Linked DNA regions of Macaca mulatta. The protein of the gene in region 2 interacts with the protein of the main gene of each other region in a pairwise test. Links are inferred from orthologs where the notes say so. Each region holds a gene or a part of one and is shown on either strand. Other genes may lie near its edges. The genes, in order: MFAP1, BICD2, RAB6A, SNW1 and PRPF31.

Region 1 (5,779 bases), on a different chromosome or scaffold from region 2:
ACAGGCGTGTACCACCATGCCTGGCTAATTTTTGTATTTTTAGTACAGACGGGGTTTCACCATATTGGACAGGCTGGTGTCAAACTCCTGACCTTGTGATCTGCCCACCTCGGCCTCCTAAATTGTTGGGATTATAGGCATGAGCCACCATGCCCAGCCTTGTGTACAATTTTAAAGGGCACTTGGACTCCTACTCCTTCAGGTCCAGGATAAAAACCTTAGAAACTACAGGCTGAGGGCCAGGCGTGGTGGCTCATGCCTGTATTCCCAGCACGTTGGGAGGCCGAGGTGGGTGGATCACCTGAGGTCAGGAGTTCAAGGCCAGCCTGGCCAACATGGTGAAACCACGCCTCTATTAAAAATACAAAAATTAGCTGTGTGGTGGCATATGCCTGTAGTCCCAGCTACTTGGAAGGCTGAGGCAGAACTGCTTGACCCCCAGGGGGTGGAGGCCAAGATTGCGCCACTGCACTCCAGCTTGGGCGACAGAGTGAGACTCCGTCTCAAAAAAAAAAAAAAAAAAAAAAAGAAACTACAGGCTGAGGATGGAGTTATCTATTTATTGTGTGTAGCTCATATTGAGGCAAGTTTTCTTTTTTTCTTTTTTCCAGATAAGAGTGTCACTCTGTCACCCAGGCTGGAGTGCAGTGGCGCTATCTCAGCTCACTGCAACCTCTGCCTCCTGGGTTCAAGCGATTCTCTTGCCTCCACCTTCCAAGTAGCCGGGAATAACATGCAAACACCACCACACCCGGCTAATTTTTGTATTTTAGTAGAGAGAGGTTTTCACCATGTTGGCCAGGCTGGTCTCGAACTCCCAGCCTAAAGTGATTCGCCTGCCTCAGCCTCCCAAAGTGCTCGGATTACGGCGTGAGCCACCACGCCCAGCCTAGAGTTATCTATTGATGGTTTCCTTTGTAATCCGGGATTACCCTCTTATACCTAATAATTTATAGGAATGAGTGATGCAGCTCAGAAATGATTCTGCTTGGGCCGGGCGTGGTGGCTCACGCCGTAATCCAAGCACTTTGAGAGGCCGAGGCAGGTGGATAACCTGAGGTCATGAGTTCGAGACCAGCCTGACCAACATGGTGAAACCCTGTCTCTACTAAAAATACAAAAATTAGCCAGGTGTGGTGGCACATGCCTGTAATCCCAGCTACTTGGGAGGCTGAGGCAGGAGAATCGCTTGAACCCAGGAGGCGGAGGCCACAGTGAGCTGAGATTGTGACACTTCACTCTAGCCTGAGTGAAAAGCAAAACTCCATCTCAAAAAAAAAAAAAAAAAGATTCTGCTCTAACATAGTGTAGGTTACTTAAGTGCCACAAATGCTTCCCCTCACAGTATGCATGCCCCTTTTCAAAAAGTATGACTTTGCTGCTTCTCCTATCCAGAGGTGGAGTCTGTTTCTCCACCTGCTTAAAGCTAGGTCGGCCTTGTGACTTGCTTTGACCAATATGTGGCAGGATTGATGTATGAGTTCTGGAACCTAAGTGTCAGAAGACCTTGCCCTCTTAGAATGGTACCGAGACTACTATGTAAGGAAGGCAGTCTAACCCAATGAAGGATAAGTGAGGCATCCTAACTGATAGCCACCACCTACTACTAGACATGTGAGTGAAGCCCTTTTAAGTTTCTAGCCCAGTCAACTGTCTAGCTGGATACAACAACATAAGTGAGCCCACGTGAAATCAGTAGAGGAACTGTTCAGCCAACCTCCAAAATTGTGAAAAGTAATTGTTTTTTCAAGTCACTCAATTGTGGGTTGGGTTGTACACAGTAAGAGATAACTGCTAACAGTTACTAATTTTTGTGTCTACTAGGAAACTAAAGGGAGCACTGGCTGGCACTCTATTATGGACACACATCGACAAAGTGTGTTTCTCTTCCCTGATTTCACTGTAACAAGTGAAACTCACATTCCAATTATAGGAAACTCACCCAGCAGCAAGAACTCTGAAGATGGCCAGAATGGAACTCACAGTAGGTAATGAGTCTCAGAGCTATCCTACTAGAAACCTGTTCCACTAGCAGCATTAACTCTAGGCTCATCTTTTTACTCACGCTTCTCGATCTTCTCTGTCCCTCTTGATTCTTTTTAGCTCCCGAACTTTCCATGCCTCATATTCCTCCTCGTCATTTTCATCATCAGTATTGAGTGCATCCAGTGCAGCCAAGGATCGCTTGTTCTCTTCCAGCTCTTTCTTGGTTTCCTCTTCGACAATCTGGATAGGGAGAACAATTCGGCTTGGACTTCCTTACTCTCCTCAGACAAACCTGATTACACTATTTTCTTGTACTCAATCCTTGGAACCACTCCCCAGTACCTTTTTTTTTTTTTTTTTTGAGACGGAGTCTCGCTGTGTCTCCCAGGCTGGAGTGCAGTGGCGTGATCTCGGCTCACTGCAAGCTCCGCCTCCCGGGTTCATGCCATTCTCCCGCCTCAGCCTCCCGAGTAGCTGAGACTACAGGCGCCCGCCACCACGCCCGGCTAGTTTTTTTTTTTGTATTTTTAGTAGAGACGGGGTTTCACCGTGTTAGCCAGGATAGTCTCGATCTCCTGACCTCGTGATCCACCCGCCTCAGCCTCCCAAAGTGCTGGGATTACAGGCTTGAGCCACCGCGCCCGGCCAACTCCCCAGTACCTTGAGTGTGTACTTGCGCCTCTCCTCTGCCAGGCGTTTTGCTTCCTGCTCCAGCTCCTTCTGTTTCAATGCTTCAGCTTCACGTTCTTGAACTGTCACTCGGTCCTTCCTGCATCACAGAGGTCCTGTTAATTGCCTAAAGTCCTTAGAGTGGAGTGCTTTGTTCCCCTAGACCTAGTCCCATCCAAATGAGACGAAACCAAACTCTTTGGCTCTATTATTTTCAAAGAGCAAAAAACGTTGAGTCATCCCAGGTCTTTTTTTTTTTTTTTTTGAGATGGAGTCTCACTCTGTCTCCTGTGCAGTGGTGTGATCTCAGCTCACTGCAACCTCTGCCTCCTGGGTTCAAGCAATTCTTTGCCTCAGCCTCCCGAGTAGCTGGGATTACAGGCGCCTGCCACCACACCTGGTTAATTTCTTTGTATTTTTAGTAGAGATGGGGTTTCACCATCTTGGCCAGGCTGGTCTTGAACTCCTGACCTCGTGATCCACCTGCCTCAGCCTCCCAAAGTGCTGGAATTACAGGCATGAGCCACTGTGCCCAGCCATCATCCCAGGTCTTTGGAGCACTAAAATCATGTTCATCTTTGAGAACTGCCTGGACAGCAAAGAACCTGCTGGCCTGTAAGTAGGAGGATTTCTAGCCATCAAGAAAGGAATAGGAATCTGCTTGTTGAGTTTAATTTTGTGTTTAAAAATATATGGCCTTGGCTGGGCGCGGGGGCTCATGCCTGTAATCCCAGCACTTTGGGAGGCTGAGGAGGGCGGATCACCTGAGGTCAGGAGTTCGAGACCAGCCTGACCAACATGGTGAAACCCCCTCTATACTAAAAATACAAAATTAGCCAGACGTTGTGGTGCATGCCTGTAATCCCAGCTACTAGGGAGGCTGAGGCAGGTGAATCGCTTGAAATCGGGAGTTGGAGGTTGTGGTGAGCAGACATGACGCCATTGCACTCCAGCCTGGGCAACAAGAGCAACACTCCGTCTCAGAAAGAAAGAAAGAAAAAAAAAAGGCCTTGGACAGATATATGCTCTATAACTGAAAAAAAGAGATGTGAAAACAAACTCAGGTTCTCTGCTAACACCAAGATACTCCTCAGCAGCTCGTCTGGCAAGGCTACAGCACTAGCAAAAGCACTTTCACTCAGTGCTTAGATTTCAGAATAGCACAACAGAAAACAGACTTTTGTTTCCACGCCTGGAAAGTGGTAATTAAGTGGATTCAGATCTGGCTCGTGAGATACTTACTTTCGAATGAAGACTGGCTTAAGGCGAGGCTCCATCTCATCTTCACTGTCTGTGTACTCTTCATACTCAGACTCTGATTCTGACTCCTCTCCAGAACGTCCCTCATCTTCCACTTCCATGACTTCCATCTCTTCATTTTTTCTCTCCTGTGCTCGCTGACGCATCATGCCACGCCGCCGTTCTATTTCCTGTGAAGTCATATATGTAAGCCGGTCAGTCAAATGGCCTATGGCTTTTTGTTTTAGTCTCATCAAACCCAACAAATTCAAATGTAAAAAAATACAACTTAGTACCATTCTATTTTTAGTCCTATCCCAACAAACAAGGAACATGATCAGAGTCCTGCCAAAAGCAGTGATCTCATGTTTTTAAGGCTTCAACAAATGAGCACAGGCGTCAACTTTTTCTTATATCCAGAAAAAAACTTCCCATGTTCCTTTATCATACCTCATCATCAATCTCCTCTTCCTCTTCTTCACTGCTATCTTCTCGTTCCATGCGCCAAGCATCTCCTTCTACTTCTGAGTCACTCTCTCCTACCACTTCAGGTTCCACTATTTTCCGATGTCGAGCCAATCTGATAAACAGTATCTCCAAATGTAACACCAATGTCATAAAAATGAACTAGCATCAACCGCATTTCCACAGCCACACAGTACATTATGTTTGCCTTCATTAATACTGAAGTCTTTTTTTTTGAGGCAGGGTCTTGCTCTGTCACCCAGGCTGCAGTGCAGTGGTGCGATCTTGGCTCACTGCAACCTCTGCCTCCCAGGCTCAAGTGATCCTCCCACCTCAGCCTCCTGAGTAGCTGGGACTATAGGCATGCCAGCACACATGACTAATTTTTGTATTTTTTGTAGAGACGGGGTTTTACCATGTTGCCCAGGCTGGTCTTCAACTCCTGGACTTAGGCAATCTGCCCGCCTTAGCCTCTCAAAGTGCTGGGATTACAGATGTGAGCCACCATGTCCATCCAATATTAAAGTATTGAGGTGGGGGAAACTGAGGTGCAGATTAAAGGAACTAGACTAGGATATCAGAGCAAATAGCCAAGTTTGGCCTGAAATACTAAACGTATGTTGAGGCATCCTAAGGCACCACAGCAAGCCAGCAAACTCATAGGGATGCATTGGGATTTTTTTTTGAGACAGAATCTCACTCTGTTACCCAGGCTGGAGAGCAATGGCGTGATCTCGGCTCACCACAACCTCCCCCTCCCAGGTTCAAGCGATTCTCCCTGCCTCAGCCTCTTGAGTAGCTGGGATTACAGGCGTGCACCACCACACCCGGCTAATTTTTGTATTTTTACTAGAGAGGGGGTTTCGTCATGTTGGCCAGGCTAGTCTTGAACTCCTGACCTCAGGTGATCGCCTGCCTTGGCCTCCCAAAGTGCTGGGATTACAGGCGTGAGCCACCGAGCGTGGCCTGCATTGGGATATTTTCAATAGCTCAAGGTAATTCAGTTTCAACATTAAGTCATATTACATTCCTTTTGAGAATATCGTATCTTCGTGAAATTGGGTTTTGGTGGCTGCTGTGGTAAAAAGTACAGTGTGAATATCAATATAAAACAAGACATGAAAAAGTGACAGTGCTGATTCCAAGGTCTGCAAGGCTGTCAGTGTCCAATAGGCACACAAATTCCACTAGTAACTGTGGTTATGTGAGAATGAATAAAAGTGTTTTTTTCCCCATGGGCACTGTAATTTTATTTATTTTTTCTTTTTTCTTTTTTGAGACGGAGTCTCACTCTGTCACTCAGGCTGGAGTGCAGTGGCATGATCTCGGCTCACTGCAACCTCCGCCTGCCAAGTTCAAGCAATTCTCTGCCTCAGTCTCCCAAAGTAGCTGGGATTACAGGTGCCCACTGCCATGCCTG
Region 2 (5,779 bases):
GTTTCCAGCGGGCTCCTGGCGAGCCTGGCAGCCAGGGAAGAAGGGTCTTCGGCCCACACAGAGGCCTTTCCACGCAGCAGCTCGCAGCATGCTCAACATTAAAGCTTTTTTTCCTCCCATTAAAAACTTGGGGAATGCTATTTTGAAAAGAATTGCAGTGGTATATCCAAAAAGTTTCTAAGTGGGCTTTTAGGTTGCCCTTCCTTCCTCCTTGTGGGCCACGAGAGGGAAGGGGAGGGGGCTGCAGTGTGACAGGGCTGGGTGGCCAAGTCCTCCTGGCAGCTACTCTACAGCTGAAAACGGGAGAAAAGAGAGCGTTAGAAAGCGGTCATCAGTCGCTTCCTGTTTATCTGACAACTGAAGCTCTCCACGTGCTGGGAGGGTGCGAGCACGTTAGTTGGCAGAAGAGAAGACCTGCATGTGTTAGGGGGAGCCCAGTGGCTTGAGTGTCTGCAAAGCCCCTTAGGAGTATGGAGAGAAGCTGTGTGCCAGGCTTGCAAGGAGAGGGCAAAGCACGTGCAGGGTGAGCATGCCAGCAGTCATCCCACTGCGAGTCTTGCTGGGGCAGGGGGATCTGGGCCCAGGATGAACACGCAGGGAACATAACATGGGCCTGTCCTGGAGTCTGGAGAGGACCGAGACATACTCGGCACCAAAGGGAAGAGCACGCAGGGTAGACAGCTGTGGGAGGGGGCAACACGGTCTCTCACCAGGTAACTCGAATGCCTCTTCCGCATGAGAGACAAGGCAAGCAGCCTGCAGGGGAGAAGACTGCAGCCTCAAGTCCAGCTGGTTCCACGGGGTGATCGGGAGAAAAATACTGAGAAAAGTTCTGCTCAGAATGTGGGAAGGCAGGCGGCCTGATGCCAAAGCTCTGGTGTGGATGGAGCCTCTGGAAATGGGAGAGCCCTACAGCTACCTTTCCTCTTTCTCTGTTGCCATTCCCCAAATTGCACTAAATAAAGAGACCTAAACATCTCCTACCTGTGAATCCTGACAATTGGCCCTGGCCCCATGCAAAGCTTTCCCAGCACCAGGCTAGGCTCTGGCTACAACTGTGGGTGTCCAACCCAGCCAAGCCCCTGGTGGCTCAGACTTCAGGCTAGGGTTTTCAAAGCCCCATGTCTTTGGGACTGAACCCCCTAAGGACAGCCAGATAATTGGCTGCTGAGGTCACCCCAAGTACAAAAGGACAGGCTCTGCACTGAGGACCAAGGTCTGGCCAGGCACTTGGACAGCTTTTCTCATGAAAAATGAAAACCTGGGGCCTTGGGCCCTGCCCATTTGTCACCTCACAGGCCACTAGACAAGCATCCTGATCTCAGAAATGTAAAACCGAGCTCTGGATTCCTGGGTTATGGTCAGCTGTGTCTCTGCCATGTGTGTCTGGCCAGCAGAATACAGGGGCTCAGGGCTGCTCTTCTCTGGGCTTGGGGAAGAAATTCTGCACTTCTGTACTGAATATGATTTGCAGTGAGATAGTGCATAAACTACAACATAATCCTTTCCATGAAACTATGCCAAGTGCAGAGCCGTCCTCTGAAGCAGTACCTATACGGCAAGCTGGAACCTCCTAAAACTGCTTTCTAGCGCTGACGTTAGACACATGCGAGGAACATGCAAGTTTCAACTCAGGTTCTGCCCCATTTGGGTGCTGAGGGAGCAGGACCAGGACTCCTTCCCTTGGGTTTCCCCAAGGGTGCCCAGGGCTTAGAAGATGCTTTCATCACACATCTGCTGCAAGAATGTGCAGCTCTATCCCCACCTCTGACCCCCACCTACGAGAGCAGCTGAGGACTGGGTGCTCCTGAGGGGGCTTTGAGGAGTGAGAAGCGACACAAAGCTCTCACAAGTGTCCTGCTGATGCACACGCCCCATGGCGCCTCGGCTAGAATCCTACCCTCTGTGCATTAGTCACGTTAAGATTGACCTAGCGCCGCTGTCCCGCTGCTGCTGGGTTAGTTGAGGTGAAGCAGATGTTAGCTGCAGCGTGCGGCGCCCCACAGCCCCTAATCACAGTAAATGCTGTGCTTCTCGCTGCAGAACACCTGGTTGGCCAGCCCGGTGCCCTCGGCCCTGTCGCTGGCACAGGCGCAGGCGTGACTTACGCTCGGGGTGGCTGGCTTGGCCTTCGGGGCAGCTTTGGTGCGGCCACGCCGCGTCTGCTCATGGTCCAGCTCGAGCAGCTCCAGCCGCTGGGTCAGTGCCAGCTTCTGCTGGATGGCCATGCGCAGCAGCGAGTTCAGCGTCTTCTTCTCGTCCTCGGCGGCCGCCAGCTGCCGCTGCATCTCATCCAGTTGTGTGATGTACTCGTCACACCTGTGGGTACCAAAAACATGACTGAGGAGTGGGCAGAGCCGAGCAGAGGAGAGCAGGGCAGGGCCTGTGCAGCCCTTTGAGAGGCCTGCACCAGAGCCATCCTTCGGTGTGGCCTCTGGACTGGAGGGTGGGGGTGGGGGAGAATTATTCTGGCTTATTTTAGCACAGGCTTTGCTCGGACAAATCCCTGATAAGGGTGAGAGGGAGGCTTGGGCCCAGGCAGGGCAGCCCTATGAGGCTGGCTTGAGTTTTGTGGTTTTGTAGGGGAGGGGCTGCTGTGCTCATTCAGCAGCATGTAGTGCTTACAGAGAGGCTATGCCCCTCAGTGACTGGGCTGCTTCTAGGAGGTGCGCTCCCCACTTAAAAGGCCTCGAGGTGGCCTGGGGCATCAAGACATGGAGATGCCATGGCTTCTAGGGTGTGGACGTAAACCTAAGCAGGACTGGGCTTGTTCCCAAGGTCGATGCTTCGTCAGTCTGTGCTGAGCACTGACCGGAGCCAAGGAACCATGTGTGTGGATGCCATCGATAGCTTCATCCCAAAACCCGGTGCGGAGCTGTGGGAGGGTGTGATGTGTCCCTGGATGCCCTTCCTCCACATGTCCCATATGGGTGGGGCTTGGTAGAGACACAGGGCGGGTTAAACCCCGGGGCTCCCAGGGTGGTAAGGCTGTGCAGGCACTGAGCGCAGCCCCACCCTGCCCACACGCACCCCACCCTGCCTGTCCCCACCTGCCAGGAACTGGCCCTTGGATAGCACCCTCTCCAAGGGCTCTGCTGCCCACCCTTTTGAGGACACACACTGAGCTGTGATCCTTGCAGGTTCAAAATCTTGGCTCCATCTGAAAAGTTAACTTTTAAAATAAAACAAATTTTAAAAGGTAGGGTTTACATGCCAGATGCTGAGAAACTGTGGAATTTTTTCCCAAGCCCCAGAAAGACAAGACGCTTCCAGAGAAACCTTGGGCCTCTTCCTAGTCCATACCCCGCCCTGGCAGGGCCTGCAGGGATACCGAGAAACTGGGAGTGCCTGGCACCAGGCTTGAGAGAAGCAGGCCCTATGTGCAGTTCCCACCCTGTCCAGCTCAGATCCTCAGCTTGCTCACCCACAAAAAGGAAACATCTAGGTTATCTGCTGCGCCCATGGTGGGCCTGGCTGTCCCCCATGCAGGGCTGGCCCCATGGTGCTATCCCAATATGACCCAGCAGGTGGCACTACCCATCTCTGGAAGATGAAAGACAGATGGGGGCACCTGTCAGGGAGCACCTGGGAAGATGCTGGAACCAGGACCTGCCCCACAGAGGCCCATGAACACCTAGGGAGCCTCGATTCCCAGCCTTGGGGTCTGACTCCCAGCCAGGGAGGGGTGTGCACCCACCAGGGGCAGCCCACCCAGAGCCCACTACTAAGAGACCCACCACAGAGGAGGAAGGAAAGCTAGTCTCCTCCAAGCCCCAAGGCCCTCTCCTCACCTTCCCCAGATTGGCAAAGTGGAGGATGGGAGGTGAGTACCCAGTGGTCACAATGACGCAGAGGTACAGGGCTATGCACAGAGGTGGGACCCGAACTGTGGACCCCAGCAGTGACCTGCTCCAGCCAGGAGGGTAATCCTCCTTCTGATTCTACAAACATAAATGCATACTTGTGCCATATGGCCAAGTTCTTGGGGGCGAATACCTCATGAGAGAAAAGGCCAGGACTCCTCTGTCACCTGTTGGCCCCAAGTAAGTCCCTGGAAATGTTGGATCCAAGGGGTGGGAGCCCAAGCACCCCCTGAAGCTCCGCAACTCTGGCCCATCCACTCCAGGATCTGCTCTCCTCAGCCCCTCTGCCCTCAGTCTCCATATATGCAAAGCAGAGGCAAGCCTGGGCCTGCTGTGCTTTCAATCACAGCAAAATCGAATCAGCGCCACAGAACCAGGCTCCTGGGGGCTGGGCTAGGTGTGAAAGGAACAGAAAAAGGATCACACACGCTCTGCCATCCCCGGCCACATGTGGTCACCTGCCAGGCATGCGCTACGCTCCAGCACCTGCTTGCGTGACCTCGAAGGAAACTGAGGTGACCTCGGAGGAAACCAACCCCATGTGGCCCCCATATCGCCTCACCCTTTCTTGTCACCAACTTGAGCACCAGTATGCCAGAGATGTGCCAGGGGCCATGCTTCCCCAACCTTGTACCATGTTGGCCCCAATGGAGCTGGGCACAGCCACTGACTAGGCAGGGCTGCAGGCCTCAGTATAAGGCAGTGAGAGGCTAAGGGTTTCAGAGCAAGTGCTGAGGACAGCTGGCCTCAGGGAAGGGGAGGGCCCGACAGCAGCACGGTTACCTGGTGGCAAACATGGCACGCAGCGAGGAGAAGGTGGCTGCGTCCTCCTTGAGGGCCTTGAGCTCATTGCGCAGCTTCATCATGGTCTCGGTAACCATGGCCTTCTCATTCTCATACTTGCTCTTCAGGTTGGCAAGGGCCACCTCGGCTGTCTGGGGTACAGATGTGTAGGGTAGAAAAGTGAGAGGCGTGAAGTCATCCTAGAGGTGCTCTGGGAGTAGGACGGGGAGTCCTGGTCTGAAGTGGTGGCGGTGCCTGGGAAGAGAGCTCCTGGGAGGCCCCTCCCTCTGACAAACCCTGGGGATGGACTCCAGCAGCTACGCCATGGGGAGTCCCACCTGCTGATTCTGACTGGCAGAGGAGGGACTGCCCCCAAACCTGCCTACGGGACCCCCACAAAGCCCCACAATCACTCTCCACAGCTCAGACTACGGCTCTCACACGTTTTCCCGCCAGCATCAGGAAGCACTATGAGGCAGTCACAGTGAGTGAATGGCAGCGGCATTTCTCACTGGCTGAGCGGCTCTGCTGAGGGGCCCTCACGCCCACCTGCCTGCTCCACCCTCCCAGCTGGGGGCCCTGAGCAGGGGAGGGCAGGCGGCCAAGCTACTGTGGGCTGGCTTTGCCTGGTGGTGACGCAGGCCTGGGGGGCCCCGTGGCAGGGGTAGGAAGGAGGCCAAAGGGAAACACCCTGAGGCCAGCAGTGGGTGACAAGTGGCCCTGCCGCCTGGCGTCTCACCTGCTTGTTGGCCTTGAGCACAGTGCGCAGCGTGGTGATCTGCTCCCGCTTGGTGCTGAGCAGCGACTTCAGCTTGAGGATCTCCTCCATGAGCGCCTCCTTGTCCTTGTCCACAGCAGGGCCCAGCTCCTGAGAAGCAATGCGCTGGCGTGACAGCTCCGTGGTGCGGTCCACGGCTGCCTGCAGGTGCTTGATCTGGTCGCGGATGATAGCAATCAGGTTGTAGATGTTCATGGGCTCCCGGCGTGGGTCACTCAGGGGTGACGGCAGTGAGGAGCCAGGTGAGGGGCTACTGTCCCCGCTCCCGCCATCGGCTCGGCCGGCCTCAGGAGCCAGCAGCCCCTTGGGTAGGAGGATGGGTGAGCGGCGGCCGCGCCCCTCAGGGCTGGTGCGG
Region 3 (6,270 bases), on a different chromosome or scaffold from region 2:
GACTCCGTCTCAAAAAAACCAAAAAAACAAAAAAACAAAAAAAACCCATTAAAACATTTTAGGTAAGAGGTGGACTATACCATGAGGCCCTTCAAAATGACAGGGAATAGTACCACCTGTCTAGGTGACTACAGAGACCAAAGCAGCAGGGAGGACTGATTCATAAAGTTCTGTAGGAAGTACAAAATAATTATAGTTCCAGTCCTCAGATGTTACTTTAAAGTCTATTTCAGGAAGCATAATGAAAACTTGGTACCCATCAGAAAGAAAATAGCTACTCACTTCTGTTTGCATAATCTTTTTAAAAAGTTTCTTGGTTTAAGCTGCTCTTTGTATGTGCCAGGGTTCTGGGTTAATGGTGGAGAGGACCCTATTAGACCTGACAAACTACTTGTAAAATCAAACGTCCATGCCACAAGCCAGGTTTTTACCATTTTATTTTAGATGCATGTTCTAAATGCATTTTATTTTAGATGCACGTGGCTGGGAGAGGAACCAGAAGGGAGTAAATTTTGATAGAGATGGTTTGAGGATATAGCTGTTGTCTTGATAAGCCAGACTAGATGATATTTTAAGCACTCCCTGTAATTTATTCTAGGTCACCAATTCATCCCTGGGCCTGAGAAGGCACTTTTTCGATCCTGTCGTTTCTACAGCTAAGCAAATAACTCCCCAATAATGAGAAAATGTACATAAATGTTTTTGTGGATGACATAAGATACTATACACAAATGTAAGGACTTTTTTTATTATTCACTTAGAAAGTTTTTTTTTTTTTTTTTTTTTTTTGTTTGTTTTTTTTTTTAAGACAGGGACTTGTTCTATCACCCAGATTTCAGTGCAGTGGTGCCATACTTCAGCCTCCAACTCCTGGACTCAAGCAATCCTTCTGCCTCAGGCTCCTGAGTAGCTGGAACTACAGGGGCACACCACGACATTCGGCTAATTATTTTATTTTTTGTAGACCAGGCTTTGTTGCCCAGCCTGGTCTCGAACGCCTGGGCTCAAGCGATTCTACCGCCTCGGCCTCCCAAAGTGCTGAGATTACAGGTGTGAGCCACCGCGCCCAGCCGCTTTATGGAATTTTTTTTTTTTTTTTTTTTTTTTTGAGACAGAGTCTTGCTCTTGTTGCCCAGGCTGGAGTGCAGCGGTGTGACTTTGGCTCACTGCAACCTCCGCCTCCCGGGTTCAAGGATTCTCCTGCCTGAGCCTTCCGAGTAGCTGGGATTACAGGCACCCACCATCACACTACGTTAATTTTTTGTATTTTTAGTAGAGATGGGGTTTCATCATGTTGGCCAAGGCTGGTCTGGAACTCTTGACGTCAGGTGATCCACCCAACTCAGCCTTCAAAGTGCTGCGATTACAGGCATGAGCCATCACGCCCGGCTTTTTTTTTTTTTTTTTTTTTTTGAGATGGATTCTCGCTCTGTCGCCAGGCTGGAGTGCCATGGTGCGATCTCGACTCACTGCAACCTCTGCCTCCCGGGTTCAAGGTATTCTCCTGCTTCAGCCTCCCGAGTAGCTGGGGCTACAGGTGCGTGCCACCACGCCCAACTAATTTTTCTATTTTTGGTAGAGACAGGGTTTCACCATGTTGGCCAGGATGTTCTTGATCTCTTGACCTCGTGATCCACTCGCCTCCGCCTCCCAAAGTGCTGGGATTACAGACGTGGGCCACCGCGCCCGGCCTGCTTTACGGATTTTGCAAGTCATTTTCTCTCTCTAGGCTTCAGTTTCCTCATCTGCAAAATTGGGAGGCCCTGATTCTGACAGTTATAAAATTCCTGGGAGCAATGGAAGATAATGTTATTTAGTAAGATGCTGTGAGAGGAATTATGATGAGAGGGTGAAGAAGGTGGGGTGGGTGCACGGGTGAAGAACGGATCTGAGGACTGTGAGGCACGGCTGAGGGCTCAGGAAAGAGGCACCTCTTACAAATTTTAAGGCTATAGGACCACCCACACTTTTTGGGGGATCATATTCCACCTTTATCCCGGCCCCGCCTCCGCCCCACCCTTCTCCCCTCCCCTTCCTTCCCCTCCTGTCCCATAAGACTGAGAAGCGCCACACTTCGTATGGCCGCCACACTGGTCCGCTTTCCACTGCTCTAGGGTTGCGCGCGCTCTCACGCTGCCACCTCACTCGCGTGTCTGCTCGCCCTCGGCCCCTTCCGATTGGCTCATTACGTAAGTGACGTAAGGGCTCCAGCCTCCTCCTAACTTATCCCTGGCTTGCCCCGCCTCCTCCTGGCTTCTTCTGGCGCAAGTGGAAACCTAACCTGCCCCGTCGCCGCCGTGCGGGAGGAGCCAGTAGAGCTGTCCAAACCAGGAAGGCGATAGCTATGGCGGTGGCGCGCACGCACGCACGCACGCCAGCGGCCGGCGGGGCCGCAGGCTCGCGCCCGGGCTCGCCCCGCGCCGCGCCAGAGGCTCGCGCACTCAGCAGGTTGGGCTGCGGCGGCGGCGGCAGCTGTGGAAGCTGAGGCGCTGCGCGTGAGAGGTCCCAGATACGTCTGCGGTTCCGGCTCCGCCACCCTCTGCCTCTCTCCCCCAGGTGTCGGAGTTGAGTGCGGAAGGAGGGAACTGCCCTAGCCTAGGGAAACCAGAGCACACCCCTGGCTCCTGCCGACACCGCCCTCTCCTTCCCAGCCGCGGGCCTCGCTCGGTGCTAGGCTACTCTGCCGGGAGGCGGCGGCGGCTGCCAGTCTGTGGAGAGTCCTGCTGCCCTCCAACCGGGCTCCTCCACCGGGCCTTGCAGGGGCCGAGAGAGCTCGGCGCCCGCCCTTCCGCTCGCCTTTTTCGTCAGCCGTCTGGAGCAGCATCGGTCCGGGAGGTCTCTGGGCTGAGGCGGCGGCAGCTCCTCTAGTTCCACCATGTCCGCGGGCGGAGACTTCGGGAATCCGCTGAGGAAATTCAAGCTGGTGTTCCTGGGGGAGCAAAGCGGTGAGTACGTGGCTCCCCCACTCCTGGCAGCTGGCCCCAGCGTCCCCGCACCGCCCCCGGTGCGGCCCTTCCGTCCGCGGAGGCTCCCAGCCCGCCTAGCGTCCGCGCTCGTTGCCACTGCAGCCCTTCCCGATGTGCCCCCCGGTGCCACTGGCTCTCCGCCTGGATCTGTCGGCCGAGATTTTACCCTGTTCCCCGGGTTCTTCAATCCTTGACTCGCCGTCTCCGTTCCCCGCAGTCCGGCCGTCTCCGGTCGATCTGCCCCCCCTCCTCAGCCCTCACCCCGCCCAGCCTCTTGTCCATCCCTTTCTTCCTCCGGTCTCCGTCGTTTCCCCTACCCCAGTACCCTTTCTTGAGCCCCACCCTTATTCCTTGCTCTTTTCCCAGTTCCTCAGCTCTGTGAGGCCCACTCAGGGAAGCCCTACTCCTGAGAACGGGCCCTCTTCAACCTTGGCCAAGGAGGGTGGGATCTGGGCGTTGTTTTCCCCAGAGGCTTGGCCCTGAGAAGTGCTGATGTCGTCGAAGGTGGGAAGGGGTGGTCGTAGAAAAAATTATTAAATGGTTTTCACCTGGGTGGGAAATTAGTCGGGCCATAGAGGAAACATCTGAATTGGAGACGACTTGAGCATGGGGTGGTTGGGGGTGAAAGGGGTAGCGTCGGCAGTGGAGATTTTTGCCCTTTAGGTTAGATGGGGCTGTGGCTTGTCGGAAAACCTCATTTTGTTCTGTTGACTTCCATCACTGACAATTCTTTTGGCAGTGTTGATGATTTTTCAATCTCTGCCAGATGCTATGTCATGATCATTTTACTTGGAATATTTCTCATCTCACCTACCCTTTTTCTCTTTTCAACATGAAGCAGCGTTTGAGTCTCATGGTGGTACAAACGGGAATTACTGGGGAAATGTTAATTATTCATTTCTTGAGTATTTTCCAATGATATATTGAGGATTCATGTGAGAGAAGGCTTGGAATAACAAACATCTTTGTTTTGTCAAATTTCCTTTGGAAAATGGAGTAGAGTAGAAATAAACTCATCTAGTTATCTAAATTAGATTTAAATACCATTTGGGCTAAATAATTCTTTTATGCTTCATATTCCGTACTATCTGATGAGTGAAATTGTTATGTCATTTACCTGGTCAGGTTCTGCTGTCACTGTACTTCCGTATTAGATACAAGATCCTAATTTTGTGATGGTCGTTTCTACGATTACTTCTTGTAGTAATTTCAGTTTTATGCTGTATTATACAAACTTGACACTCGACAATTCAGGGACGATTACCCTCCTTTGTTTTTCTCACACTTTGCATGACCGTCTTTAAAATTCAGACATTGAGAGACTAGTTCTGAGTCATCAAACATTGAGTACCTACTAGGTGTTTTAGGTGAGGTTATAGAAAACATTAATTGTTTGTTTTGACTAGAAGGCATATAAGTGATATAAACTCATAGCTTTTATTACTACTTTGAACTATTTATACTGATTTGTATGCCATTACAGAGGTTAATACCCTTGCAAAATTGCCTCCCGTTAGAACTGGGAAATCATTTTTCTCCTTTCATATGTAGATTATCTTCCCCTCCTCCCTTTTGAGGGTAAAAATACGATCTCCTTGCTTTTCGCTTACATATTTTCCTGAGGTAAGTATAAACTTGTGTCTTTAGGTGAGTAACTTGGTAGAACCTATGGAGTTGATCCTGGTCCAGCTTTTATATGTCAATTTCAGGATAGTTCCCAAACATAAAATAAAGCTTATTGATCATTATTGGTAAAAAGGATCCAAAGTGCTTATTGTGCATTCTAAGGATATTATTGCCTTTCTTACGTTGTGATGCACAGCTATTTAGTTTGCATGAAAAAACTCATTCATCTCCCTGTCTAAAAATATTTTAGCATGAAAGGAGTGCTTAACTTCCTAAGTATCTTCAGGTTTCCTTTGAATTTCTTGAGTATTTGTATATGTTCTAATTCATAATGGAGAGTTTTATGGCTTCTAATTTCGTACCTTGTTTAAGCCTCTACTACCCTCCTCCCTCCATTACTGAAGCCTGGTTAGATTTTTTTTTTTTTTTAATAGACTTCATTTTTTAGAACAGTTTTAGACTTACAGAAAAATCGAAAAGATAGTGCAGAGTTCCCATATATCCACACATCTAGTTTCCCCTGTTATTAACATCTTGTATTAGTGTGGCACATTTGTTACAATTAATGAACTAATATTGATATGTTATTATTAACTCAAGTCCATAGTTTATTTAGATTTTTAGTTTTAACCTAATGTCCTTTTTCTGTTTCAGCATTCAATTCAGGATGTCAAGTTAATTATCTTTTGAAGTTACTATATTGCCAAGTAATGCCATTCAGTAGCTTTGACAATGAAAGATTGATCTCTGTTTTCATGGTTAGTGTCTATAGTTTTCTTATGCATTAGTAGAGGTCTGTAGACTCCATGTCGTTTGGATGTAACTCTTCATGAATTACTTATTTTTAGGTCTGTTAGAATTCCACAATTCAGCTTTCAAAGACTGTAATCTGTGGCAAGTCTTGTTTTTTCCTTAATAGCATTTACCACCTTTATAATTATCTTATTTTTTGTGTGTTTGTTTTTATTTCCCACAGAAGAATGCAACTCCCATGAAGATAAAAACTGTTACCTTTTTTGTTCAGTGTATCCCCATTGCCTAGCATAGAGCCAGGCTCATAGTAGCTGCTTAGACATGTTGGGTGAATGAATGGTGGCTGAATCTAATAGTAATGAAAGCTAGTAGCCTATATTACACTCTTTGACGTGGTGAAGTTCACATTTTTTCCGTATGCAATTGATAGTTTAACAATAACACTTAAAACTTACATCATTTGATTGTATACAGGAATCTATCAGATACTTAAGTGGGTAGAGAAACCAATCATTTAAAGGCCCAACCATTTCATTCAAAAAATAGGACTGACCTGAATTTTGTACTTTTTTGTTTTTGAGTTGAGCAGAATTAGTCTTCCTTTGTTAAAGTTGTTGTTAAATTATTAATATAACACATGAAAAGTATTCAAATTATACTAATGATGTGCTCATGTGCTTATGGAACTGATCTGAAATTAGGTTTTATTTGGCTTGTCAAAAATTTAAGATACTAGGGTGGGTGCGGTGGTTCATGCCTGTAATTCCAGCACTTTGGGAGGCTGAGATGGGTGAATCATCTGAGGTCAGCAGTTCAAGACCAGCCTGGCCAACATGGTGGAGGCCCACCCCCCTACCCCCCGGCCTGGTCTCTACAAAAATACAAAAATTAGCCAGGCATGATGGTGAGTGCCTATAATCCAGCT
Region 4 (5,779 bases), on a different chromosome or scaffold from region 2:
GGAGTTTTGCTCTGTCACGCAGTCTCACTCTTTCACGCAGGCTAGAATGCAATGGCACGATCTTGGTTCACTGTAACCTCTGCTTCCTGGGTTCAAGCGATTCTCCTGCCTCAGCCTCCTGAGTAGCTGGGATTACAGGCTTGCACCACCATGCTTAGCTAATTTTTGTATTTTTAGTAGAGACAGGGTTTCACCACGTTGGCCAGGCTGGTCTCAAACTCCTGACCTCAGATGATCCGCCCACCTCGCCCTCGCAAAGTGCTGGGATTGCAGGCATGAGCCACCCGGCCTGGCCCTATGCTATTTTCAAATTATATTTTTTATTTTTAGAAATTAACAATTACTTGTGGTATATGACCTAAATCACAATTATTATTTATAGGTAATAGATATCTTTATAATACTTCTAAATTTTGAGACGTTTCACTTGACTAAAGCTGCATAGAGAGATGAATTACATACAGATATTAAGGGAAAATTCAGAGTTGGTAGGGCTTCTGTCATTATTTTTTCTCTGTTTTATAACCTATGATTAATCAAAAACTGCTAACTGTAAGTTGCCTGCTGGGATTATTATGAGTATTTTTTCCTCAGATGCAGGCATACCAAATAGGTACTATTTTCTAGACTGCTTGTCTGTGAAACTGAACTCTGCACCTTCCATGTTGGAAAACATATGAGGATGGGTTATTTGCAAACTAATACCACTCAAGTTTTTTACTGTAACTCGTAATTTATGTTCTTTTATCCCTCTTGCTGTCTGCTTTGTCTAAATATTGTGTTAATTTTCTGTTAATACTTTGCGAAAGGAATTGAAAATGTAGTCCAGCTTAAGATTGTAATAGAAGGAAAATACCTACTGAAAGCTTGAACTAATTACACCTTTAGTTTTTATCTGCTTTCTTCAGATATACACCATCTCAGCAAGGAGTGGCATTCAACTCTGGAGCTAAACAGAGGGTTATTCGGATGGTAGAAATGCAGAAAGATCCAATGGAGCCTCCAAGGTTCAAGTAAGTAAAAAGGAATAGGCTACTAATACACACAATAACATGGATGAATCTCAAAACGATTATGCTGAGTGAAAGAAGCCAGATGAAAACAAGTACATACAGTATGATTCCATTTATATAAAACTCCAGGAAATGCAAACTAACCTGTAGTTACAGAAGGATCGGTGGTTGCCTCTGGGGAAGGAGGTAGGGACAGAGAGGAGATGAGAGGGACAAGAGGAATAGGCAAGGGGCAAGCAGAAACTTTTGGGGATGATAGACATGTTCACTATCTTGCTTGTGATGATGATTTCACAGGTGCATATTTGTGTCAAAATTTAATCAAATTATATACTTTAAATATGTATAGCTAATAAATGTCAATTATCTCAATAAACTTGCCTTTTTTTTTTTTTTGAGACAGAGTCTTACTCTGTCACCCAGGCTAGAGTGCAGTGGCGCCATGTCAGCTCACTGCAAGCTCCGCCTCCTGGGTTCATGCCATTCTCCTGCCTTGGCTTCCCGAATAGCTGGGACTACAGGCACCTGTCACCACGCCCAGCTAATTTTTTGTATTTTTAGTAGAGACGGGGTTTCACCGTGTTAGCCAGGATGGTCTCGATCTCCTGACCTCAGGCGATCTGCCCACCTCGGCCTCCCTAAGTGCTGTAATTACAGGTGTGAGCCACCGCACCCAGCCTCAAGCTGCTTTTTAAAATGGAAAAAAAGTATATTACTCTGCAAAATGACAGTAATGTTGTGGAGGTGGGGTGAGTAACGATTTCAAAGTTGGCCAAGTTTTATTCATTTTAGAAGTGGAGTGGTAAGTGTATATCATTATACAATCTCTGTTTTTGTCTATGTTTGAAACTTTTATGCAAGAAAAAGGAGGGGAGACTTGGTATGATGACTAAAAGGGAGGAAACTATATCACTGTGTGGTTGTGTTTGATTTATACTTCAGGATTAATAAGAAAATTCCCCGGGGACCACCTTCTCCTCCTGCACCTGTCATGCATTCTCCTAGCCGAAAGGTATTCTTTGCTGTAGTCCACAATCTTTTTTTCTACTTATGGTTATTAATTTTATAGATAACTTCCCTATGCCTGTACAGGTGCATGTCACCACATTGACTTGTAGTTTCTTTTTTTATTTTTCAAGATGAAGTTTCAAGAATGCTTATGAGAATGTATATAACATGTTAGCTATACGTTTTGTTATTAGTAACCCAAACCCTACTTTTAATGGAATGGACAGGGTCTGCTGTTTCAGTTAAAGGATGTTATTGGAAATGAATATATGGGTTTATTAGGTCCCTGATAATTTGAGTGACTTTTTAAGATATATTTTATTAATCAAAAGAACAATTTTTCATCCAAAAGAAGTCACATTGGCCAGGCATGGTGGCTCACGCCTGTAATCCCAGCACTTTGGGAGGCCGAGGCGGACGGATCACCTGAGGTCAGGAGCTCAAGACCAGCCTGACCAACATGGAGAAACCCCGTCTCTACTTAAAAAAAAAAAAAAAAAAAAAAAGTTAGCCGGGCGTGGTGGCGCATGCCTATAATCCCAGCTACTTGGGAGGCTGAGGCAGGAGAATCACTTGAACCCAGGAGGTGGAGGTTGTGGTGAGCTGAGATCACACCATTGCACTCCAGCCTGGGCAACAAAAGCGAAACTCCGTCTCAATAAAATAAAAAAGAAAAAAGAAGTCGCATCGCTTTAAATATGGAAAAATACTAGCCAACATTTGTAACTGTCAAGAATAATTTCTAGATTATTTTCCATTTTTCCCAGTAGTTCAAAGTTATTACTAGAATTATATGGTAAACTAGTGCTAGCAAACAAATGGACTGTTGGCCTTTTACTATGTCTGTGCATATGTCAGTGTATATGGAGCTATCTTTGGAGATAAAGATTATACTTAAGATTTACTTTGTAGACTATAAATCTAAACCTGTCTCTTCTTTCACTCTTCTCTCAGATGACTGTAAAGGAACAACAAGAGTGGAAGATTCCTCCTTGTATTTCTAACTGGAAAAATGCAAAGGTAATTAAGTTGTCAAATCAGTCTCTGTTAGTATTATAACCTACTGGAAAATACCAATAAAACAACTACAGCCTGCGTAACTGTAGTTGAAACAACACATGGCTTAACTGAGTATTTTCAAAAAGGAATGCCCAATTTGGTGACTTTTTTAATGTAATAGAAATGTTAGTGTGCCAGGCACATGAATACCGTGTCAGTTCTTTTTTTTTTCTTTTTTTTTTGAGATGGAGTCTCACTTTGTCACTAGGCTGGAGTACAGTGGCATGATCTCAGCTCACTGCAACCTCCGCCTCCCAGGTTGCAGCGATTGCCTTGCCCCAGCCTCCTGAGTAACTGGGACTACAGGCGCATGCCACCACGCCCGGCTAATTTTTTGTATTTTAGTAGAAATGGAGTTTCACCCTGTTGGCCAGATGGTCTTGATCTCCTGACCTTGTGATCCGCTGGCCTTGGCCAACCAAAGGGCTGGGATTGCAGGTGTGAGCCACCGCATCTGGCCCCATATCAGTTCTTTTAGTGAATTGTAGCTAGCAGAAACATAGAGAAGGAATAAGTATAATAAAGTGCCATATAAATACAAGATGGTATTTAGAAAACTCAAATTTATGTCTAAAAATTGTTTCCAAAAGAAAGTAAACTGGTGTAAAAGATTATATGACAAGAACAGAGTAAATGTTTGCATACTTTAAGTGCTTTTATATTCAACTACTTGGCTCTGTAGTAGTGAAGGCTTAAGCTATATGTCTCTAATAATCGCCAAAGTTTCTAGGAGTTGTTAAGAATCTGTTGATTGTGGGATAGGTTCCCTAATTACTCTTTCCTCTTCCCTGAATCATAGTTCATGGTTTTACTTTTGATGGATAAAGAAGGCCATTTCAGGTTTCTTAAGAGAATTTATGTACTCACCCTAAACAAAGAGGTTGTTGACTGGTCTGATTCGAGTTCATGAATATTATGTAACTGGATGGTATCTTGAGCTGGTTCTGTAACGCTTCATTTTTATGAGACCATGGACTTAAAGGTCAACATTTGAGAGACTAGTCAGGTATCTGGAAAATAAAACTAAGCCTGAAAGTTACATAGATATTCAAGTATAGTTCTTGAGTTATTGAAATGGGATGCAAAGTTTTAGAATGTAGAATGTCAGTGGTTTAGCAAACGGTTTTTTTCTTTTTTCTTTTTCTTTTCTTTTCTTTTTTTTTTTTTTTTTTTTTTGAGACAGGGTCTCGCTCTGTTGCCCAGGCTGGAGTACAGTGGTATGATCATGGCTCACTGCAGCCTAAACCTCCCACACTCAGGCATTCCTCCCACCTCAGCCTCCCAAGTAGTTGGGACCACAAGTGTGCCCCACCGTACCTGGCTACTTTTTTGTATTTTTGGTAGAGACAGGGTTTCACCATGTTGCCAGGCTGGTCTTGAACTCCTGGGCTCAAGCAGTCTACCTGCCTTGGCCTCCCAAAGTGTTGGGATTACAGGCTTGAGCTACTGCACCCAGCCTTTTTTTTTCTATTTACTAAAACTTCAGGGTTCTAAGAATATAACAGATCATTAAGAGAGTACAGCAGATTTAACTTCCTATAGATGCTAAGATTATAGTGATTTATTCTGCCTTTGTTTGACTGTTACATTTATTTGAGGAGCAACTGTTGAACTGTTTGACACTGATTTCCTTTTATTAAAATCCACAATTATCAGCACAAGTATCTATTTTTCCAGAGGTTGGGTTCTGAAATCCTACTGTCTGAGTTTAAATCCTAGTCCTCCACTTATTTTAACGGTATGACCTTGGGGATGTTACCAAAGCATCAGTGAAATGGACACAATGTTAGAAGCTTTATAGAGTTATTATGAAGGTTAAATGAGACCATAGATGTGTTTGATCTTCTGCATAAAGCACTCATTGATAGCTGCTGTTATTTTGCGTCGTTGTGAAGAAAGATATAAGGAAAAAGAACCCCAGTTAAGTTTAAGTGGGTCCTAAAATGTGGGCATATTTTAATTTAATTTTAGCCAGGCTTGATGGCTCGTGCCTGTAATCCCAGCACTTTGGGAGGCTAAGGGTGGATCACCTGAGGTCAGGAATTCAAAACCACCCTGGCCAACATGGTGAAACTCCGTCTCTACTAAAAATACAAAAACTAGCTGAGTGTAGTGGCACACGCCTATAGTCCCAGCTAGTTGGGAGGCTGAGGTAGGAGACTCACTTGAACCCAGGAGACAGAAGTTGCATTGAGCCAAGATGGCACCCCTGCACTCCAGCCAGGGTGACAGAGCCAAGACTCCAGCTCGAAAAAAATTAAATTAATTTAACTTCAAATAATTAATTGAAGCACTTCTGTGACTGGGTTTTCTGTCTGCTTTCACCCTAGGGTTATACAATTCCATTAGACAAACGTCTGGCTGCTGATGGAAGAGGACTACAGACAGTACACATAAATGAAAATTTCGCCAAACTGGCAGAAGCCCTCTACATTGCTGATCGGAAGGTTGGTTGGTTATAATTTGTTTAATGCTCTTGTTACTTTTAAAATCCATTCTTGGTTACCTAAGGTACTGATAATTTAACTATAGTACCAAGCACCCAGAGAGAGTCTCACCCATGGTACGTGTGTCAGAAATGGCAGCTGCTAGTTGGCAGCTGTCTGCATGCTCCTAGCCTTTGTAGATGTGTACATACACCCCACAATGGTGATCCGGCTCCCTCACAACATGCCAGAATAATGATTTGCTGGGGATGA
Region 5 (5,779 bases), on a different chromosome or scaffold from region 2:
TGGGGTGGGAAGGGTGGGAGGCCAGACCGCAGAGTTGCTGAGTCAGCAGAGAGGAACTGGGCAGCTCCCTGTGTGCCAGGTGCTGTCCTGAGTACTCGGGTGTGGGTGTAGATAACGCAGGCACAGCACTGGTCCCTGCAGAGCTTCTGGAGTTGGGCAGGCCTTGAATGTCAGTCTAGGGACTTGGTCATTAGCCTTGGGGCTATGGGGAGCCATAGGAGGTTTCAGACGGACGGTCAGTTCCAGGGCAGGTAGGGTCAAGTCTAGACTGGTGTGGAGGGAGAGGGATTGGAGGCAGGAACACAAGTTCAGGGATGTCTGCAGATGTCAGCCTGTCGCCTGCTTTACTCTTCAACCCCTCCTTCCTGACCCCCTCCAGCCTCGTCCTCCGCCTCCTCCAGCTGCAGGATCTGGGAGGCAGACGTCAGCCTGTCCCTGGTTTACTCTTCAGCCCCTCCTTCCTGACCCTTCCCAGCCTCATCCTCCGTCTCCCCCAGCTGTGGGACCTGAGAAGGGGTAGGGATTTATATCCTCACACCCATGCCACTCCGTGTCCTCACAGTGATGGGACCGGTGGAGGCAGCGCCTGAATACCGCGTCATCGTGGATGCCAACAACCTGACCGTGGAGATCGAAAACGAGCTGAGTGAGTGCTGGGGGCAGGCGGAGACAGCCCCCTGTGACGCCCCTCATGCCCCCTCCCTTCCCCACGGGCCTTTCCCAGGGTCCTGCCGCTGAGCCCAAGCTCAGATCGAGGTTCACCTGCTGTAACGGAGTGGTGTAAGTAAGAAGGAAGTGTGTTCTCCCTCACGTATGAGTCTGAGCGAGCACTCGGGGACGGCGTGGCTCCCTCGCGTATGAGTCTGAGCGAGCACTCGGGGACGGCGTGGCCGCTTGGCTGCCCGTAAGGCCCCAGCCCTTTCCATCTTGTTGGTCGGCCACCTGCCTCGTGGTGCGAGGGGACTGCCCCACGTCCAGCCGTCGCCTCTGCATTCCCACCAGCAAGGCACTTCTTTTTTTTAAGAACATGTCACTGCAGCTCACATTTTACAGACCAGAACTAATTCCCCTGGTCACACCTAGCGGTAAGGGCGGCTGAAAAATGGAGCCTGTATGCTGGTGCCCGTATGCCAGGCTACAAGCCAGGGCTTCAGTTACTAAAGGAAGAAGGGGACGTGGGTGTTAGGGCCAACCAGCAGAGTCTGCCTCCCGTCTCACCTGACACCCGCCTGTCCCGTTTACCCTAGACATCATCCATAAGTTCATCCGGGATAAGTACTCGAAGAGATTCCCTGAACTGGAGTCCTTGGTCCCCAATGCACTGGATTACATCCGCACGGTCAAGGTGAGAGCAGAGGAGGAGCGGTGCTTCTGCTGGTGTGAAGGTGCAGGCAGGGCTCACTCTTGGACCCGCCCCCAGAGGCCTCGGGGTCTGGAGGTGAAGGAGAGGAGTGGACGGAGGCTCAGTGGCCTGCTCTGCCCAGGGTGAGAGGGACGGAGCCTGGATGGGACTTTCTCAGGGCTCCCCTCGTACCCCAGTCTCCCGAGAGGGCTTCCCCGCTGGCCTGACCCGCGCTGCTTCCGCTGTGGTCGGAGCCGGTGGCATTGGAGTTGACATCCGAAGGTCGTCACAGGGCAGGCACGCGGAGATTTGGGGGAGAGAGATGTGTTAAGTATGGAGAGCCGGAGAGGGAACAAGCGGGGAGGAAGTGAGGCGGGGAAGGAGGGGACGCGGAAGAGGTCGGATCACACTGAGCCTTTGGGTCTTATGAGAAAGCCAAGGAAGGGTTTCGGAAAAGAGGGGCGGATGCAGGTGAGGGCAGGGAGAGGAGGCGGTCCCCACGTGTGTCCGGGAAAGGATCAGGATGGTGGTGGGGGAAGCCCCCGCAGGGAAGCGAGGCCGCGGGTTTGTGCTCCGACTCGACACAGGCAGAGGCTTGTGAGGCCGCGGTCTTCCCAGACGCTGCTCTGCCCAGGTTCCGTTTCCAAAGCAGAGCAGACGGTGTGGATGCTTCAGGCGGTGGAGGCAGGAGAGGCCCCCAGTGTAGAGACCCTGACTTTCCCAGTGTCCCCGAGAAGAGACCCGAGTAGGTGCAGGGCCAGAGAGGCTCTCAAGCCTTCCTGAGTTCCTGAGCCTCCCCTGTCTTCTCTGCTCGCGCCCAGGAGCTGGGCAACAGCCTGGACAAGTGCAAGAACAATGAGAACCTGCAGCAGATCCTCACCAACGCCACCATCATGGTCGTCAGCGTCACCGCCTCCACCACCCAGGGGTATGTCCGCTGGAGGGAGGCGCCGGGCCCGGGCCAGTGGGACTGGGGATTAGGCTGAAGCTACCCACGCAGGTGGGCATACACACACACGCACACACACACACACACACACACGTGCACACACACACAACTGAGAGGGTGGGTGCTGGGCACCAAGCAGGCGGGAGACCCAGGAGGCTGGGCCCACCCGCCCCTGCAGGCAGCAGCTGTCGGAGGAGGAGCTGGAGCGGCTGGAGGAGGCCTGTGACATGGCGCTGGAGCTGAACGCCTCCAAGCACCGCATCTACGAGTACGTGGAGTCCCGGATGTCCTTCATCGCGCCCAACCTCTCCATCATTATTGGGGCGTCCACGGCCGCCAAGATCATGGGTGAGGCCCTGGGCTGGGTCCCATGGAGCGGGACTCTGCTGACACTGTGATCTGGGGGAAGCTGCTTCCCTTTTCTGTAGAATGGGGACTTTGGCACCTGGGCCTCAACACCCCGTCTCCCTGGACGTGACAGAGGTCAGCCAGCCTGGCACACAGCAAAGCCTCGTCTGGGAGAAACACTCACCCACAGCTCCTCCTCCCTCCCCTGTGCCGGAAAGCCAGAGATGACCACACCCAGGCCCTGTTGTCAGGGGGCTCCTGGTTTGGTGAAAATGGTTCCAAAACACAGACATCCCTGGAATGGGGGTAGTGTGGCTTAGCACAAACGTGGTGGTCAGTTGCCTGTTGGGGGCCTCCTCCCTGCACCCCAGGCCAGCTGCCCTCCCTCTCTGAGCCTCCTTTGCGTCTGCCCCTCGCGGAATGGGCCAGGTCGCCCGCCTGGCAGGGCCACCGAGGAATCCAGCCAGAACCTCACGTAAAGGTGCTTGGCACATGTCGAGCCCCCAGGCAGATGTGCGCACCCCCGCCTCCCCCGCTTTCTTCTGACCGCCCCTGTCCTCCTCCCACCGCAGGCGTGGCCGGCGGCCTGACCAACCTCTCCAAGATGCCCGCCTGCAACATCATGCTGCTCGGGGCCCAGCGCAAGACGCTGTCGGGCTTCTCGTCTACCTCAGTGCTGCCCCACACCGGCTACATCTACCACAGTGACATTGTGCAGTCCCTGCCCCCGGTGAGCCCACCGCGTCACAGCCCCTCCCCCGGCTCCCCTGGAGCCTTCCGCCTGCCCAGACGGCCTGAGCAGCCACCCCCACCATCTGGCCCAGCTGACAGTAGCACTCAGGAGCCGGGGACAGGGTAGCATGGGATGTGAGAGCCAGGGTTCTGCAGCACACCTGTCGGGTGACTGTGGGCAAGAGGCGTGAGTGCCCTGTGCCTCAGTCTCCTCCCCTCGAAAATGGGAGCACAGCGCCTGCTTCACGAGTTGGGGCGAGGGCTCCATGTAGACGAGGCCCTCACAAGGCAGGCCTAGCTCACGACAAGCAGCGTCGGGTTAGCAGCTGCTCCGAAGGCCACCGTCACTGGAAAGACACGGAACCCCTGAGGGCTGCTGTGCTGGGGACTGTATAACAGATTAACATTAGCCACAGGGAGAGACACACAGGAGGAGCAGGAGAGGTCACCAACCTCGGAGGGCGATGTGTCCTCTCCCCGCAGTCAGGACACATCACCCTCCCGGCATCGATGCCTGACAGCACACACAGGGCCGCCAGCCTCACACCCGTAATCCCAGCACTTTGCGAGGCCGAGGCGGGAGCATCACTTGAGGCCAGAAGTTGAAGACTAACCTGGGCAACATAGTGAGACCCCGACTCTTTTTTTTGTCTTGATTCCAATGGGATTGGAAACACCCTGTCTCTACAAGAATAAAAAACCCGGTGTGGCAGCGCTTGCCTGTCATCCCAGCTACTTGGGAGGCTGAGATGGGAGGATACTTTGCGCCCGGGAGGCGGAGGTTGCAGCGAGCCAAGATTGCACCACTGCACTTAAGCCTGGGCCAGGGACGCTTGCCTGGGCCGTGGTGTTCAGTCTTTATTGTGGCTCTGCTGTGTAGACACGACTGTGTTGCCGTGTGGCTGGTCTGTCTCCAGGTCAGGTGATGCCCCATAACTCAGAGCCCCCACGCTGAACCACGTGGTTGGGCTTTCCTGCGTGGCCAGCCCCAGGCACCCTAAACCACACTGTGGCTACCCCAGGGCCCCAGCCAGCAAGGACCGCCACCCAGGACCCCCGGGCAAAGGCCAAACCTCTTCCTGGGCAAGGCGAAATTCTCTGCCACGCGGAGCCGCTGCCAGTGTTATTCCTGTGACTGTCATCTTCAGTATCATTTGATTCTGTGGCAGCGAGTTTCACATCATCCTCCTGATGTCTCCTAGAACACAGGTCATCTCCCTTCAGTGGCACAGACCATGAATTTCAGTGACACAAAGACGGTGGTTTTTATTTTAATCACTGCATACTTATTTTTATTGAATAATCTCCCATTCGTGGTAATGAAATTAAGCTGTCTAAACAGGTTTGCAGTTTTTAAAAGCAGACTAAAAGAAAACATTGACGACTGGTTATCATCAGAAGGCATTTTAGTCATAGCAGTGGTGGGAAAACGCGCAACAAGCAGAGCTGGCTGTGAGTGGAGCTTTGGAAACATTTGGTGATCTCATTGAGTCCTCACAACTCTCTCTTTTTTTTTTTTTTTTTTTTTTGAGACGGAGTCTCGCTCTGTCGCCCAGGCTGGAGTGCAGTGGCACGATCTCGGCTCACGGCAAGCTCTGCCTCCCGGGTTCACGCCATTCTCCTGACTCAGCCTCCGAGTAGCTGGGACTACAGGTGCGCACCACTACGCCCGGCTAATTTTTTGTATTGTTAGTAGAGACGGAGTTTCACTGTGTTAGCCAGGATGGTCTCGATCTCCTGACCTCATGATCCGCCCGCCTCGGCCTCCCAAAGTGCTGGGATGACAGGCTTGAGCCACCGCGCCCGGCGAGTCCTCACAACTCTCTTTTTTTTTTTTTTTTTTGAGACGGAGTCTCGCTCTGCCGCCCAGGCTGGAGTGCAGTGGCCGGATCTCAGCTCACTGCAAGCTCCGCCTCCCGGGTTGCCACCATTCTCCTGCCTCAGCCTCCCGAGTAGCTGGGACTACAGGCGCCCGCCACCTCGCCCGGCTAATTTCTTTGCATTTTTTAGTAGAGACGGGGTTTCACTGTGTTAGCCAGGATGGTCTCGATCTCCTGACCTCGTGATCCGCCCGTCTCGGCCTCCCAAAGTGCTGGGATTACAGGCGTGAGCCACCGCGCCCGGCCGAGTCCTCACAACTCTCTAAGGGAGATCCTGTCCCTCCTCTGCCCTTCGCCACCCATTTCACAGATGAGGGAACCGAGGCACCGAAAGTCAGACTTGTCTGAGACCCCGCAGGCGGTGGAGCTGGTCTGAGTCTGGACAGTCCGAGACCCCGCAGGCGGTGGAGCTGGTCTGAGTCTGGACAGTCCGGCCCAGAGCCAGGGTCCCTCCCCTCGGGGTTGCTCCCAGCATCCTCCACCTCCCGTCTCAGGCGCGTCTCACGCTGCTGTTGTGAGGGTCACAAG

The links.
Region 1: the proteins of BICD2 (region 2) and MFAP1 interact in binary tests that used the Homo sapiens proteins (3 or more experiments, as listed by UniProt). The link is inferred for Macaca mulatta from reciprocal best matches to the Homo sapiens genes BICD2 and MFAP1.
Region 3: the proteins of BICD2 (region 2) and RAB6A interact in binary tests that used the Homo sapiens proteins (3 or more experiments, as listed by UniProt). The link is inferred for Macaca mulatta from reciprocal best matches to the Homo sapiens genes BICD2 and RAB6A.
Region 4: the proteins of BICD2 (region 2) and SNW1 interact in binary tests that used the Homo sapiens proteins (3 or more experiments, as listed by UniProt). The link is inferred for Macaca mulatta from reciprocal best matches to the Homo sapiens genes BICD2 and SNW1.
Region 5: the proteins of BICD2 (region 2) and PRPF31 interact in binary tests that used the Homo sapiens proteins (3 or more experiments, as listed by UniProt). The link is inferred for Macaca mulatta from reciprocal best matches to the Homo sapiens genes BICD2 and PRPF31.

Annotation. Positions count from the first base shown.
Region 1 is NC_133412.1:21,193,630-21,199,408, forward strand, and holds part of MFAP1 (microfibrillar-associated protein 1), read right to left. Parts: intron 4,475-5,779; coding exon 4,345-4,474; intron 4,086-4,344; coding exon 3,898-4,085; intron 2,756-3,897; coding exon 2,647-2,755; intron 2,227-2,646; coding exon 2,066-2,226; intron 1-2,065. UniProt on the Homo sapiens protein: Involved in pre-mRNA splicing as a component of the spliceosome.
Region 2 is NC_133420.1:123,433,716-123,439,494, forward strand, and holds the end of BICD2 (protein bicaudal D homolog 2), read right to left. Parts: coding exon 5,386-5,779; intron 4,799-5,385; coding exon 4,647-4,798; intron 2,320-4,646; coding exon 2,010-2,319; 3' UTR 889-2,009; downstream 1-888. UniProt on the Homo sapiens protein: Acts as an adapter protein linking the dynein motor complex to various cargos and converts dynein from a non-processive to a highly processive motor in the presence of dynactin.
Region 3 is NC_133419.1:74,147,214-74,153,483, reverse strand, and holds the start of RAB6A (ras-related protein Rab-6A), read left to right. Parts: upstream 1-2,473; 5' UTR 2,474-2,875; coding exon 2,876-2,945; exon of another isoform or gene 2,946-3,214; intron 3,215-6,270. UniProt on the Homo sapiens protein: The small GTPases Rab are key regulators of intracellular membrane trafficking, from the formation of transport vesicles to their fusion with membranes.
Region 4 is NC_133412.1:150,953,827-150,959,605, reverse strand, and holds part of SNW1 (SNW domain-containing protein 1), read left to right. Parts: intron 1-908; coding exon 909-1,013; intron 1,014-1,955; coding exon 1,956-2,025; intron 2,026-2,975; coding exon 2,976-3,041; intron 3,042-5,410; coding exon 5,411-5,527; intron 5,528-5,779. UniProt on the Homo sapiens protein: Involved in pre-mRNA splicing as component of the spliceosome. As a component of the minor spliceosome, involved in the splicing of U12-type introns in pre-mRNAs.
Region 5 is NC_133424.1:66,350,257-66,356,035, forward strand, and holds part of PRPF31 (U4/U6 small nuclear ribonucleoprotein Prp31), read left to right. Parts: intron 1-562; coding exon 563-646; intron 647-1,242; exon of another isoform or gene 1,243-1,247; coding exon 1,248-1,345; exon of another isoform or gene 1,346-1,432; intron 1,433-1,534; exon of another isoform or gene 1,535-2,163; coding exon 2,164-2,270; exon of another isoform or gene 2,271-2,469; coding exon 2,470-2,639; exon of another isoform or gene 2,640-2,934; intron 2,935-3,211; coding exon 3,212-3,369; intron 3,370-3,532; exon of another isoform or gene 3,533-3,985; intron 3,986-4,444; exon of another isoform or gene 4,445-4,569; intron 4,570-5,779. UniProt on the Homo sapiens protein: Involved in pre-mRNA splicing as component of the spliceosome. Required for the assembly of the U4/U5/U6 tri-snRNP complex, one of the building blocks of the spliceosome.